3 linked regions of the Tribolium castaneum genome follow. The protein of the gene in region 2 purifies or fractionates together with the protein of the main gene of each other region. This does not show direct contact. Links are inferred from orthologs where the notes say so. Each region holds a gene or a part of one and is shown on either strand. Other genes may lie near its edges.

What was found. Proteins that work in one complex are often made in the same cells at the same time.
Region 1: the proteins of vesicle-fusing ATPase 1 (region 2) and gamma-soluble NSF attachment protein purify together in Homo sapiens (affinity purification with mass spectrometry; 3 studies listed by BioGRID and IntAct, with this or other methods). This does not show direct contact. The link is inferred for Tribolium castaneum from reciprocal best matches to the Homo sapiens genes NSF and NAPG.
Region 3: the proteins of vesicle-fusing ATPase 1 (region 2) and Syx6 purify together in Homo sapiens (affinity purification with mass spectrometry; 3 studies listed by BioGRID and IntAct, with this or other methods). This does not show direct contact. The link is inferred for Tribolium castaneum from reciprocal best matches to the Homo sapiens genes NSF and STX6.

The regions. Positions count from the first base shown.
Region 1 is NC_087394.1:1,525,825-1,530,788, reverse strand, and holds the start of gamma-soluble NSF attachment protein, read right to left. Parts: upstream 3,045-4,964; 5' UTR 2,963-3,044; coding exon 2,904-2,962; intron 2,854-2,903; coding exon 2,786-2,853; intron 2,728-2,785; coding exon 2,643-2,727; intron 2,568-2,642; coding exon 2,342-2,567; intron 1-2,341. Other genes in the region: centrosome-associated protein 350-like, read right to left, coding at 3,711-4,391, 4,440-4,528. UniProt on the Homo sapiens protein: Required for vesicular transport between the endoplasmic reticulum and the Golgi apparatus.
Region 2 is NC_087395.1:13,854,118-13,858,838, forward strand, and holds the start of vesicle-fusing ATPase 1, read left to right. Parts: upstream 1-1,527; 5' UTR 1,528-1,650; intron 1,651-1,654; exon of another isoform or gene 1,655-1,722; 5' UTR 1,723-1,787; coding exon 1,788-1,790; intron 1,791-1,870; coding exon 1,871-1,959; intron 1,960-2,008; coding exon 2,009-2,218; intron 2,219-2,271; coding exon 2,272-2,417; intron 2,418-4,721. Other genes in the region: Calr (calreticulin), read left to right, coding at 1,041-1,061.
Region 3 is NC_087394.1:33,930,344-33,935,262, forward strand, and holds the start of Syx6 (syntaxin-6), read left to right. Parts: upstream 1-1,875; 5' UTR 1,876-2,056; coding exon 2,057-2,091; intron 2,092-2,276; coding exon 2,277-2,446; intron 2,447-3,156; coding exon 3,157-3,251; intron 3,252-3,945; coding exon 3,946-4,005; intron 4,006-4,052; coding exon 4,053-4,285; intron 4,286-4,660; coding exon 4,661-4,755; intron 4,756-4,803; coding exon 4,804-4,880; 3' UTR 4,881-4,919. Other genes in the region: small ribosomal subunit protein uS7, read right to left, coding at 67-282, 462-683, 1,005-1,133. UniProt on the Homo sapiens protein: SNARE promoting movement of transport vesicles to target membranes. Targets endosomes to the trans-Golgi network, and may therefore function in retrograde trafficking.

The DNA.
Region 1 (4,964 bases), on a different chromosome or scaffold from region 2:
ATCACTAATAGTTCCGGAATTATTGCTGAAAATCGACCAAAATCAAGACAAAATTGGAAAAACCAAAATCTTAAAAATCGAACTTATTGACTTTTTTTCTACTTTTAACAACTTCAGTGGGTTGTAAACGTATAGAAGAGTCCACAAAATTTGGTAGAGAGTGTTAAAACAAATATTTTTATTTTTTTTGAATTAAAAAATTGACCGATTTCTAAGGGGGGGGGGGGGGTGTTAACTTCTTTTTTTTTATTTTCTCATTTACGGCCAAAAAAAAGCGCCAAATTCCTAATAGTTTTTTAGATATGTATTTTTGTGTATATGATCTAATTTTTGCTTTTATTTGCATTTTCTCGAAAACTATAAGTCGGACAACAATAATCTTTTTTGCAAATGATAGATCATTAAAAGAGCTTTCCAAAGATAGTACACGTCATAGGGTTATCTCTAATAGTTCCGGAGTTATTGCTTGATAAATGATCCGGGTACCGGAAATCGACAAAATTCGCGACAAAAATTGAAAAAATCAAACATCAAAAATTCGAACATATGAACTTTTTTTGACTTTTAACAACTGTAGAGGAATGTAAGGGCACATACAAGTCCAAAAACCTACGATAGAACGAGTTTTAAAAAAAATTAATTTTTTCACCTTTTTAAAGGTAAGTTTTAGCAAAAAAATTCAAAATTTTAAATCTCATGAAAAGTTGGTATAATACAGAAAATGAGCCGCTGAATTCAATGGAACAAACCGCATTGCCCTACGACTTTTAGTTTTTGAGTTATGAATTTTTTTGTTGAAAAATTATTACGCAAAAAATAAAAAAAAAATTATTCTTGTGAAAAATTGATATAATATGTAAAATGAGCCGTAAAATTCAATGGAACAAACCGCATTGCTCTACGACTTTTAGTTTTTTTTTTATGAATTTTTTTAGTGAAAAACTTTGATCGCCTCTGTAGCCGGAACCATTGCCCGGAGCGGCTTCAGGTTTAGACGAAAAAATAGACAAAAATAAGCGCTATCAGATGGATTTTTGTTCGTTGCTCTAAGTTTTACAGTTTCCGAGAAAAATGCAAAAAAAGATTTCCATTTTCCCTTTTTTTCAATTTTCAACCGCCAATTACGGCGAAACTATTAGAGTTATCGAGAAACGGAAAAATGGAGGACAACCGAAATAAAAAACTCTACAAAATGGCATAGGACTCAAGGCGATATCTCGCAAAAAATTTTTCAATTTTCAAACGCCGATTACGGCCAAACTAAAAGAGCTAGGAGAAAACGCTTTTTTAGATCGGAAAGAGCACATCAAAATCTATAAAATAGAATCGGTTTTATTTGATTTTAGGACACTTTAAAAATTGACCGATTTCTAAGGGGGGGGGGGGGGTGTTAACTTTTTTTAATTTTTTTATTTTCTCATTTACGGCTAAACTATTCTAAAAAGTGGAAGTATTTTGATTCATACCTATGCAAAATGATCCGAGGAATCGATTGGAATCAAGAAAAGCGCCAAATTCCCAATAGTTTTTTAGTTATGAATTTTTGAGTACATGATCTAATTTTTGCTTTTATTTCCACTTTCTCGAAAACTATAAGTCGGACAACAGTAATCTTTTTTGCAAATGATAGATCATTAAAAGAGCTTTCCAAAGATAGTACACATCATAGGGTTATCTCTAATAGTTCCGGAGTTATTGCTCGGTAAATGTTCCGGCTACTCGGAATCGACCAAAATTGCGACAAAAATTGAAAAAATCGAACCTATTGATTTTTTTCTATTTTAACAACTTCAGAGGGTTGTAAACGCATAAAAAAGTCCATAAAACTTTGCTAGAACGAGTTTAATTTTTTTTTATTATTGTGGAATGAAGTGACTGAAATCAAAAATCAAATCTTTAATTTTTGCAAAAAGCTGGTTATCATACGTAGAATGAGGCGCAGAATTCACCGAAACAAACCGTTTTTATCCACGACTTTTAGATTTTGAGTTATGAATTTTTAATAAATAAATCGGCGCATCCACCATTTTTCAAATTAAAATAAATTTTTAAATAAGTTCAGGGGTAAACTAATGTTGAAAAAATGCTAGTGTAATACGTAAAATGAGCCGCAGAATTCAATGGAACCAACCCTTTCCCCCTAGAACTTGTAGTTTTTGAGTTATGATTTTTTTTAGTGAAAGACTAACAATGTCTCTGTACCCGGAACCGTTGCCCGGAGCGGCTCCGGGTTTTGACGGGAAAATAGATAATTTCAAGCGCTATCCGATGCGTTTTGGATTTTTGCTTCAAGTCTTATTGTTTCCATGAAAAACATTCTGATCTAGTGATGTGACGTTACCATTGCGATTTCTGAGGCATGCTGGAACAGCCTGAGGGCCTGTTCCGGGTGCTGCGCCTCCAAAATCTTCGCTGCTTTGTCCAAAGAGGCCGCTGCTGTGTCCGCACTGCCATGGCTCTGAAACATGTTGGCAGCCCTTTCTGCCAAAGAGGCAACATCCTGTAAATCCCCGAGTTCCTTGCACACTAAAACAGCCTGATCTAGAGCCTTGGCGGCCGAAAACAACCTGATTTCAAGTTAGGAAAAAGAAAACCAACTATAAAAAATTAAAATAACACACACACACACAAAAAAAGGATACGCTCTGTTTTGTTTATGGCAGTCGACAGCTTTCAACAAACACTCCTTACATTGGGCAAAGTTTTTTGCGTTACGAAAACACGTTGCTAAAAGTAAAAATTGGGTAAAATACCCTCAGATCACTTTTTTTTAAAATATACAAACCTGCTTTGTTGTAATCATCAGCAGCCGATTCATAGTCAGGTCGCCACTTTAACAGTGATGTTTTAAGGCTGGAAAATAATTAATTGGAGAGAAAAATCACCAAAATTTAGCTCCTTACTGTTTTTCCGCGTTTCGGATGTGCTCCAAACCCTCCTCATTCTTTTTATTCGCCGACATCGCAGATGTCTATGACAAGTGAAACAGATGTTTTCTGACAGTGGGCTGGGTGTTGATGCGTGCGCAGCTTTTGACAGTTGTTCGAATTTTGGCGCCAGAAATTCCATATATTTAAGTAATTCAGCAGTTTTTTTATTTTAAATAATTAATTATGATGAAATTTAGAATAATACTAGACATCATAAAGTCTCCATTAATTACTATTACTATTTTTATATTGATTTTGAAATTTTTAATAACAAGAAATGGTAGAAAAATCTCAATTAATCCGCATGCATTTTTTTAAGTATTATTATTATTTACTATTATTAGTAAATAAAATTTGAAAATAATTTGTTGTATTTTTTTTTCTCAATTTATTTCTATTCTATCTTAAAATTACTATTTAAAATTTCAAAGTTGGCGCCAATTTGTTATACAACCGGAAGCTCAGCCATTTAAAAAAAATAGTTAAACCCAAAATGGTGGATTTGGCACGTATACAAAATTTCAAAACTCTAACTATATTAGAAATTAAAAAGTTTCTAACATAGGCCATAAAAGAATAACCCTGTATATAGATTGATAAAAAAAATTTGGTGTCAAACTGAAACACCCGGTATGATATTACAATTCATCATTCATCACTTACCTTTTTCAATTTTAATCGGTCTTTTGAGGCACAATTACGTGGCTCCTGTCTCTCTTAATAATGAAACATGCTTGTAGAAAAAAATACTTTATTCAGACTTAAAAAAAATGTACAAAATCACTTCTTAGCCAAAATCTTGGCAAAAACATCGGCCGTTTCCTCGAGTAACATCTTCATAATATCAACAGTCACTTGATTCTTGACGATCAACTCATCCTTGTCAAAGTTGGTCCACTGCGATTCTTCCTCTTGAGATTCCAACACCAAAACTTCATCCACATGGTCCCGTTTTTTGCGCCCCCACTTAATAATCGCACTTTCGGCAACTTGGACTTTCTTAAACCCAAACAATTCTTTCAGTTTTTTGGTTAAAATTTTTTCCAAAGTCAAAGAATCAGGGGGTTTGGTCTTAGCCAACTGTGGTTTTTTGGCAAGTGTTAGCCAGGACGGTTCTTTCACTATTTCGAATTGTTTGTAATGATCCCTAGCTACGTCTTTGCAAATATTGAAGAGAAATTCGGCGCAAATTTTCGACACTTCGATTTTCGAAAATAATTTGAAACCGTTTTCGGAAAATTTCACTTTTTCGAGGGTGTTGTTTTGGTGCGCTTTGTGGAGGACTTTCGAACTGTATGACGCAATTTCGCTGATTTCTTTCGCTTCGGTTGGAATTATTGAGTGGGGGAATGAGGAGGAAAGGGAGGAGGGGGGAGTGTAGGGAGGGGGCGGTTTGTTGGGGATTTCGCGCATAAAAACATACGGTAGTTGTTCTTTTTGTTGCAACTCCAACTGTTTGATCTAAAAAAATAACATAAAAAATCTAGTCAAGAAATTAAAATTTTTTACCTCCTGTTCAATGGCTAATTGCTTACGCCATAATTCTTCAGCTTCGCTTCCAAAAATATCAGTCGGTAGTTGGCGACCGTCAAGAGATTCTAAACAAAACCAATTTTTAGTCTAAGATTCAAGTCTTATTTTTTTTATTTTTCTGTTAGTTAGGTAACTGAAACTTTATATGCAAAATTATTCAAGGAATCAGAATCTGTTTTCATTTTTTGTCTACGAGCGATAGTTTTTAAGATATCGGTCAAAATTTGAGACATTGGTTAAGATTTGACAAAATCCAAACTTAAAAAAAATTTTTTTTTTAAACGACAAGTCCAAATAATTTGATTTTTCTTATGTAAAATTATTTGAGGATTTTAAATCAGACTATGAATTTTCCTGTGGCATCAGTCAATAAAGTTTGATAACTCAAGACACGAATTAGAGTAGAAAAATGATAAGTGCTTTTTTTTAGTTTAGTTTTTTTTTAATTTTTGGTCTGGGGTTCAAGTTTGTTTTAATTTTTTTTGTCAGAATCTGTTTTCA
Region 2 (4,721 bases):
AAAAAATAATGATAACTATAGAAACTAATAAAATGAGTCGTTTTTCAAGATTTTTCTCGAATGTAAATTTGCTCAATAAAGTAAAGGCTTTGCTGTTTTGAGGTCAAAACTCTTTTTTTATTAAATTTCGCTAAAATCGGTCGAAAAGTTACAAGTTAAATAGCAAGTGTTATTTCAGCTTCTTTCGCTGAATTTAGTTTAAACCAGATACACATTTATTTTACACGATCTTATCAAAATATGTCAGAAAATCATGGAATTAAATCGAATTCCATTTTTCTTGTTGCACTCTATTTTTCTCGTCTATTTTTAGCGAGATTTCATCAAAAGTTTACCATAAAACTAAATAATTAAGGTGGTAATAATTTTACCAGTTAAAAACTTTTCAACAGCATTTAAACGAAAATCATTATGGGTTAGAAGCTTATTTCTAACGCAAGATTTTTCCACCACTCTAAACCGTTTTTAACCGCTCATTTTCTCTTAAAAAAAACGTAAACCTTTGATGCCATTGGAAAGATTTAAACCGAATTTGGTAAGTGAACCTGCTACACTATTAAAAAGATTTAAAAAAAATGGTAGTGTGGTGAAAGGGGTGTAAATCTGATAATTCTTTCAGCTCGGATCTGGAGATTTTTATTTTTTGCGTTGGTGACAGTGTTACTACGAGATCTGTTAGATTTATTTTAAAGAATTTCTCTAAAAATGCAGTGTCTGTTAGATCGAATTTGTTATTTCGGTCTATATTATTTTGCAGTCTTATCAAAACATCTTTAAAAATGTTGAAAAATTAAATCAAATTTGTTGATGTTTGTCCTGTTCTATTCAATTATTTTAATCTCGAATTTTCTGATTTTTTTGGGTTGGCAACAGTGTTAAATTAAAAATTAAAAAAAGTGATTGTGGATAAAATAACTATAAATTCGGTAGGAATGTCATTAAACGCTCGGACTCCGTTTGATAACTTGAGCCCTCGCAATAATTATACTTCCTGCACCTTGTTTATGTAATATACTATTTTTTATATTTTTTTGTTACAGGAAAATCATGACGAGTTGTGAGTGTAAAAGAGACAATTTTTATATCTTACTGTGTGCAGTGTTTTGTTCCATAGTGTGTACTATTTCTTTGACTGATTTTTGTTAATAATGAGCGTATTACTTCTAATAAAACACAAAATCCTACAATAAGTTGTTTTTGTATTCACATTTTATTTGTACAAAATTCAAATAAATTATTATAACTTGTATGTAATTTTAATATTGAGATGTAAACGTACGACCGACGCTCTTCCATTTTTACTTTTTGTAAAATAATTATGTAAGTGGTCAATAAACACGAACCTCCGTTATTACAAGTTTACTTTTTCTTTTGATGACCTGACATCATCACTGATGTGGCTTAAGCTTTAGTCGCGGCTACTGCCGCCAGGGGCGCTGTAGATGACGATGTGACAGTGCCGCCAACATAATTTTTAAAGATTTGCAACTAATTTCAATTATTGAAGCAAAGTGAAAGAAATCTTATATCTTGCCACTTAACATTCAGACGTTGGCTCTGGAACCCTTTTTGTGATACATTGTTGCAAAATTACTAGTTAATGTAAAGTAGGGGTAACGTGGGCAGTTGATTGGCGACACTGTAAAACGGGTAAGTGAGGTTAAGTTGTGTTAGGTTAAGGTTGTTATCCTGTCAGTGCTGTGTAAAGTATTGATTTTGCAGGTTTTCACTAAACCTGCATTGCAGCATCTTCAAACTGAAGTTACAGAATTTATTCTTGAACGAAAATGGTAATTTTTCAAATGATTTAAAGAACATTGTATTTGATTGTCTCTACCGCAAGTAAACTAACAAAAATTTGTTGTTTTAGTTGTTTAAAGTGGTGAAATGCCCCTCAGATGAGCTGTCATTGACAAATTGTGCTGTCGTGAATGACGCCGACTTTTCACAATCTACAGAGTGAGTCATTAGGATTACATGAGCTGTTCCGAAGCCGATTTATTTGCAGGCATATTGAAGTCATCACAGGAGGAGTGAAAAAGTTCATTTTTTCCATTAAGAAAGACCCGAGAGTTCACAGGAATGAGGTTGCGTTCAGTGTACCACAGAGAAAATGGGCCACCTTGTCCATTAATGATGACATTGAAGTTAATCCTTACAAGGAAGAAGATTACATAACTTCGATTGTCCTGGAGGCTGATTACATGCAAAAGAAAACGTGAATAGTTTGCATTTAGTTTGAGCCCTTTTTAACACATTATTTTATTATAGAACATCGCAAGAGCAATATGACACAGATGAAATGGCTAAAGAATTTATTTACTCGTTTCCAAATCAGATGTTTACTGTTGGTCAACAACTGGCTTTCCTCTTTAAAGACAAAAAGATACTTAGCCTGCTCGTCAAGGACATTGAAGGTAGGTTGGTAAAAAAATAAGATTGTTTTCTGCGTATATGTTTTATAAATTCTAATTATACATAAATTCTAATTATAAGTTGGCAGGTACTAATCTTTCTTAATAATTTCATTAAACAAATGCAGGGCCTAAACAATTATGTAGGTTTTTTTTAGCAAGTGTTTGACTTTGGCAGTCGCAAGCATTCCAAAATTTTTACTGTTTAAAAAAAAACAAAAAACCTCACAGGTAAATCAAACACTCTGAAACATTTTTAAAAGAAAATTTCGTATGGAGAATGACAAATATGCTAAGTCTAATGTGTTGCAATATGTTGCAACTTTTAATAATGATGTGGAATAACTTCAGAAGTCTGTGATTCAGAAGTCTCGTATGTGAGTCAAGATATAGCACGTATTATTTTTTCTTGAATTTAGTTAGGGGAAATGCTAGACTTTGCAACATTAAGCAGATACCTGTTAAAACAAAAGAAGAAAAAACATCGTTTTGTGCTTTATGGAGGATAAAATATCTAACAAACTAGCAAATATGACAATTATTGAATTAAATTTTTAAGGAAATTATTTAAGAAAATATCTGCCATCATTTTGATGTTTAGCTGAACGTCTTTTAGCACCATTTGTAAGTTGGGCCAACATTTTTGAATCATCCTGCAAAAAATCACTTAAATAATGTGTTCGCACATTGTTGTCATTGAATAATGCGGTTCTATAGAATAAATCTTATTTGGAAAAACATGAAGTTTGTTTAAATTATTCCGAAAATGGCATTATTTTTGTACTTTTCAGAGTTTTACCAATTTTTTTCCTATGCGGAAATTAACTATTTTTACTGGTTTCCTACGAAACCATTCAAAAAATCATCACGGTTTTGTAGCCTCGGTTTTTTTCACAATATTTTGTTGAACTGTATTAAAAATACTACATTAGGAGCAACAAAAATACATCATTTTAGCAAAAACACTCCCAAATATCAATTATTTCGAGAAACTTTTTTAATAGACCGAAAAATCACAAAATTGGGGTGAAAATAGTGTTATATTCGCTTTTTCAAACATCCAAGAACGCTTTTGACTTAAAAATTTCAATAGACATATTTCAATATGTCTATTTTTAAAAGCCTTGAAACACCAAATACCGTCAAACTTAATAAGTAATAGTAAATTAATGAATTTGTAATAAATTAGTCTGTAAATGACATTGTTTTTGTGTTTTTCCTGAGGTTTAGCGTTTTTTTCTAATTGGAAAAACATAATTTTGAGTGGTTTCGTAAACAAAATATTCTAAAAATCACCACGGATTCGCAGACTCCGTTTTTTTGCTGAACTGTATCTATCAAAAATGTTAAACTAGGCATAAAAGTTAGAAAATCAATTATTATTTCTAGAATTTTTTATAAATAAACCGAAAAATTGTCATTTTGGGTTAAATGTGGTGTTATTGATGCGTTTTCAAGCATTTAAGCACGTTTTTTGAGTAAAAATTATTTTTATATGCAAAACTTTACGCCAAATTACTATAACGGTTCAAGATTTAAAATTTTTGATGCAATCTGTTATCCAAAATTTTTTCACTTTCCACAGTTACGTAAAGAGGGAAAACTTCATACTGAGCCTCAACCAAAAATATCATGATTATTATATTACATGTTATATTTTGAAAACTAGTTTACGATACCACAAATCAACACCAGCAAGAGAAGATGTTTGCCAACTTTGTTTCGAAATAGTTTCGAAGTAGGTATTGAACTTGAATTTGAATTTTTTTATACAATTTCTTACTGATTATTTTATAAAATAGTTTTTTTTCTTTTTTCTAATTATAAGAAAAGTTCTCTCTTCATTATACTTTTTGTAAAAATGTTTTAAAGACTTTTCTCTTATAAAGTCCATTCGAAATTAAAATCAATTGTCAAATTGTTTCAACGTTGGCAACTCCATTTAAAATTAGTCGTCCAGGCTTTGTTCTATGGCATTGTGGCAGGGTCCCAACATAAATTCAAAATTTTTGACACTGACTAAATTGTTAAAAAAAAGAGGTTTAGGTGCTAATAATGTTGTTGTTTATTCCATAGATATGAGTAGAGGTAGTACACCTTTGTTCTACAAGTGGTTATTATGGTACTCTCTTCCGAGCGAAATAATCTAGATTGACTAAAGTAATATTTCATGACAACAATCCAGTTGGGGACAGAAAATGATTAGTCTGCAGTAAAATGCAAATTAAAAACCCTAATTTGCATTTTAGTGCAGACTAATCATTTCCTGCCCCAACTTTATGGAAAACTTTATGAAATATTACTTTA
Region 3 (4,919 bases), on a different chromosome or scaffold from region 2:
CGGAACTTTGACCCGTTCCTCAGCATTAGAAAGGACATTTTAGCAAAAAATTAAATGAAAACGTACCTTTGCCGCATTCATGAGTTCATCAGCCAAACATTCCGCAATCGTTTTGATGTTACGGAATGCGGCTTCTCTTGCACCTGTGCACAATAACCAAATAGCTTGGTTCACCCTACGCAAGGGAGAGACATCAACGGCTTGCCTCCTAACGGTACCTGCCCTTCCAATACGGGTTGAGTCTTCACGGGGGCCAGAATTAATAATGGCATTAACCAAAACCTGTAATACATTTAAAATTCATTACTCGACGTATCATTACTTGGTACTTGAAGTTTGAAACTATTACAATCAGTCAATGGTAGCTAAATTTCAACAAATTATTTTCTGAAGAGGTGTCAGAAAAACAACTAAATCATCATAGTAAACTAAGAAGTGATAAATAATAAAATAACCCTTACTTCAAGTGGGTTGTCTCCAGTTAGAAGGTGGATGATTTCAAACGCATGTTTGACAATACGGACGGCCATCAATTTTTTGCCGTTGTTCCTCCCATGCATCATCAAAGAGTTGGTCAATCTTTCAACAATGGGGCACTGGGCCTTGCGGAACCTTTTTGCCGCATAACGACCTGCTGAGTGAGGTAAATATTTGGCATTCTTCTCTTTTACGGCAATGTAGTCCTGCAAATTAAAAACTAATGAACATCTGCTTACACAAGTGGTTAGAAGAAATACGTAAGTATCGACTCAGATTAACTAGTCACCATGAGGTGGTCTGAAGAGGTGTCAGAAAGTTAAAAAAATGTTATTTCATCATTTAAAATAATTTTAAATAGTTTCTCAAAAAATGCCGGTAAAAATTAGGTAAATACTCTTGATCAGTGGCTTTTGTAGCAAAAATAAAATGAATCTCAAAACAAGTTTTTCTGCAACTGACTGGCGCTCCAGCAAGCTGCTTTACTTTTTTACGATAATGCCCCTACTTTAAGGTGAAAAACTCACCTGCAAAGACATATCTGGGACTTGAACATCGTCGCAGCTCCACCGGCCGAACAATTTAATTTCTGGCATTTCCGCCATTTGGGGCGCGGCGATAGCCCCCGCTTGGATTTCATCGTAATCGTCCACCATTCTTCCTAAAACGCAAAACTATTAGTGCTCTTCAAAACCAACCTAACCCCAAATTGTCGAGACACATGTTTCAGTCGTAGTGCATCAACAACGAGGCATTCTGTCAAGAGGTGTCAGAATTAAATAAAAAATCATCATTTTAAAAAACTGGTCCACTTATTTCACCATAAGATGTTTTTTTGATAAATAGAAACACGTGCCACGTGAAAATTCGTTTTTTTACAAGGTGGAGATAAGCAGTTGTGTTTTTTACACGCATTTAGTGTTTCTACATTATTTTGGTTGAAATTGTAATACATACCTGGAATTTCTGTCTAATATTTATTAAATTATGAGCAAAATAACCATCAACACATTCACCACCATGAACGGTGAACCGGAAAGAGCTTCGCCATTCAAAATGGCGATAATAGAAGAGGAAATGGCAACCTTACGAAATTGGAGACCCTATGATTATCTGTCTCCCTTCCACGCATCGTCGTGACCTTAGCTCTTTCTTTACTCAACTCTAATTCCAGTAACTTTTTCACTGACTTTCTTTTTGATTAAAACGGCGGGTCTTACGAATTTGTTACTAAAACATCAAGTATTTGTTTAGACAATGATTACTCATCGTTATTTAACTAAAGCGTAGGTTATGTGATAGTGAATACAGTGGACTGAATTTTCAATTTCGTGTTTCCTTTTTATACAAATTAAAGATAATTAGGGGTGGAATTTAGGGTTTTTCACAGAGGTAGGTTTATCAATACCACTGACGTTCCCTTGCTAGTGACATTGTTGTTGTTGAAATTATGATTTATTTTACTTAAAATATGAAGTTATATGGTTCTTCGTTTATATCCACCCAACATTCCACATGTTTATGAGCAAGTTACTGTTAAGTTTGCAAGTGCAGAACTTGCCAGCCCACACATATTGACATGACGTTGGAGGACCCGTTTTTTGTAGTGAAAGAGTAAGACTTTGTGCAGTCATAAACATAAGACTTTTTATCGTGATTAGCATTTAATTTGCATAAATTCCGTGTTTGCAACAATGCATGAGCTTTGTGGGGATGTGTTTCATTTCTATTTTATTTATATTGATTTTGGTTGTTCAATGTAAACAAATTACATTATAAATAGAATGATCAAATTTTAGTGAGGTATTTAAGGCGTTAAATAAAACAAGGGGCTTGTATCTTCGATGGACTGAATTGCAAGATGACTCAATCTGTATCACCAAGGATGAAGTAGAATGGACCAACACAGAACTCAAAAACTCTTTACGTAGCATAGAATGGGACCTGGAGGACTTAGAAGACACAATTGATATCCTTTTTTAACACATTCATTGACTCAGTTGACCAGTTTATCAGCCAATAAATCTCACATACAAATTTAAATATACAAAGTGATCAAGAATATCTGTTTAAGTTGGCGATACTGGTAACAGCATTGTATTAAAATAAATAGAAATCATCTCTTGGATGGTGATAAAAAACATCCAATTGAGTTCCTATATTAAAAAATTGTTGGAGTTTTTTTTACGAGATATACACGTGAAGTTAATAGTTGTGCAAATATTTTAAGGTTTTTTAATATTAAAAAAATATTTTTGTTTACAAATTTTTTTATATTTGTGCACTTTTGAGTCATGGTATTATAGAAATTTATTACATTACATTGTTTCAAACAACTAAAAATTAAAATATTTCTGTGGCTAACTAAAATAGTCATTCTTGGTAACTTTGTAGGTGACATTTCTGGTGTTAAATGAGTATTATAAGAACTATCTATTACTGTTTCTAAATGCTCATTACTTTTTTAATTACTAAACAGTTCGAGTATAATTATATCTTTGAAATATTAAGTGTCACTTTTTTCTTCGTAATTTACTTTAAAAACAAATATCACAATTAAAAACTGGTTTCAATAAAAAGTGATATATTAAACTTCTTCTAAATATAGAAATAATTAGTTTACAACACATTTTGTTTGCATTCTTGAAGGAGATAAGTTTTTTCTTAACAGTTAAACACATATTGTAGAGAAAAATCCGTCAAAATTTAAAATCGACAACAAAGAACTTACCATCAGGAAAAACTTCATTGACACAACACGTGAAGAAGTTAAGGTAAAAAGCTTTAAAAATTAACAATATATTTTCGGTTTTGGTTCACTCTTACGTGATTTTAACTTTAATCTATAGTTACTTAAGTTGGTATGTATGTTTTTTTATGTTTTTAATTTGAAATAATTTTCAAATCACTCAAACCATTTTTTCAATACAATTTAATAAAACCTGATAAGCTAATATTTAATATTTTAAAGTATTCCACTTTTAAAAAACTTTTTTTTGTATTTGCTTAACACTATTCCTTGTAGTCCTTGTCATTGATTAATTTATTCAGCTCTAAATAATAAATTGATTTTCCGACTTCCGATGTTTGAAAAGTAGTCAGTTTTTTCAAAAGAAAGGGCTATTAACAACTTACGTTGTTAATAACTTAGTCGGACTTTTTATTGATTATTTGCCTTGAATAAACATATTTACTTTTCAATTTTGTTACTGAAAATGTTAAGGTGACTATCATAATGTTTTAAAAACAGCGGCTTTACGTGTTAGTACATAGGGAAATTAATTGATTTAAACTGTAAAAGGTAATGAAATATAATTATCATACGTAATATAATGAGTTTTTTGTATGGATTTACTTGTTTAAAGGCAGGAGATTTTTATTGGGTGTAGTCCACAATTAATCATACCATTAAAATCTCAATAGAAAATTATTTGTGTACATCAAACACTCAGACTTTGCATTTTTTAGTCAATGAAAGATAAAATCAACATGAATCGAAACAGAGATCGTGATCGTACCGCACGACAGGTAAACAACACCTAAAGTATTCTAAAGCTGACTGGCTGAATTTTTAGCCCTTACTCGACAATAGCCCCGTCAGGGTCACCAACAGCCACGGCACTACAAAATACTCTAAACTGGAAAACGATTTAGACAGCCCTCAACGTCAGTTTTTAAACGACACATTGTCGCAGCAACAATATATGACCAGACAACAAGAAGAGCATTTGGAAGCTATCGGTGATTCCCTCGGATCGTTAAAAACGGTGTCTAGACACATTGGAATCGAGCTCGATGAACAGGCAGGGTAAGAATTCTATTTTTAACAATAATAATAATTTTATTTGTCGAAAAAAAACAGCGTCCCTATTTTTAAAATTCCAAAAAACGCATCTTAGTATAATGATATTCAATGAGAGCTTTCCTTCAATGTCATAATTATGGAAATCAGAATGTAATTTGTTAAATGCGTAATTTTCTTTAATTTCTATTGTTCCATCACTTCTACACCGGTATATCCAGCTATCGGGTTAGATGTTATGCAAACATTCAAGACGATCGTAATAAGGGAAATGGCACTTAGCTGATAAAAAATTATTTGTGTTGTAAAATAATCCGAAGGTTGCGTCACCGATGTTAGAATAATTATTTTAGCTTTTTCCAATGTTTACCTTTTTTGCAGAATGTTGGACGAGTTCGGGACTGAACTCGAAAACACCGACTCAAAACTGGACTCGACTTTGAAGAAGATGGCGAAAGTGTTGCACATGTCCAACGGTAAATTTTCGTATTAAATTGCCACTTTTGTCAGGGATTTATTTACAGATCGGCGGCAGTGGACAGCTATCATCGTTCTATCTATCATTCTTCTTATTGTGATAATTTTATTTTCCGTACTGTGATTTCGTTTTTAAAGGCCAACCGCAAGCCAAGTTAAGAGA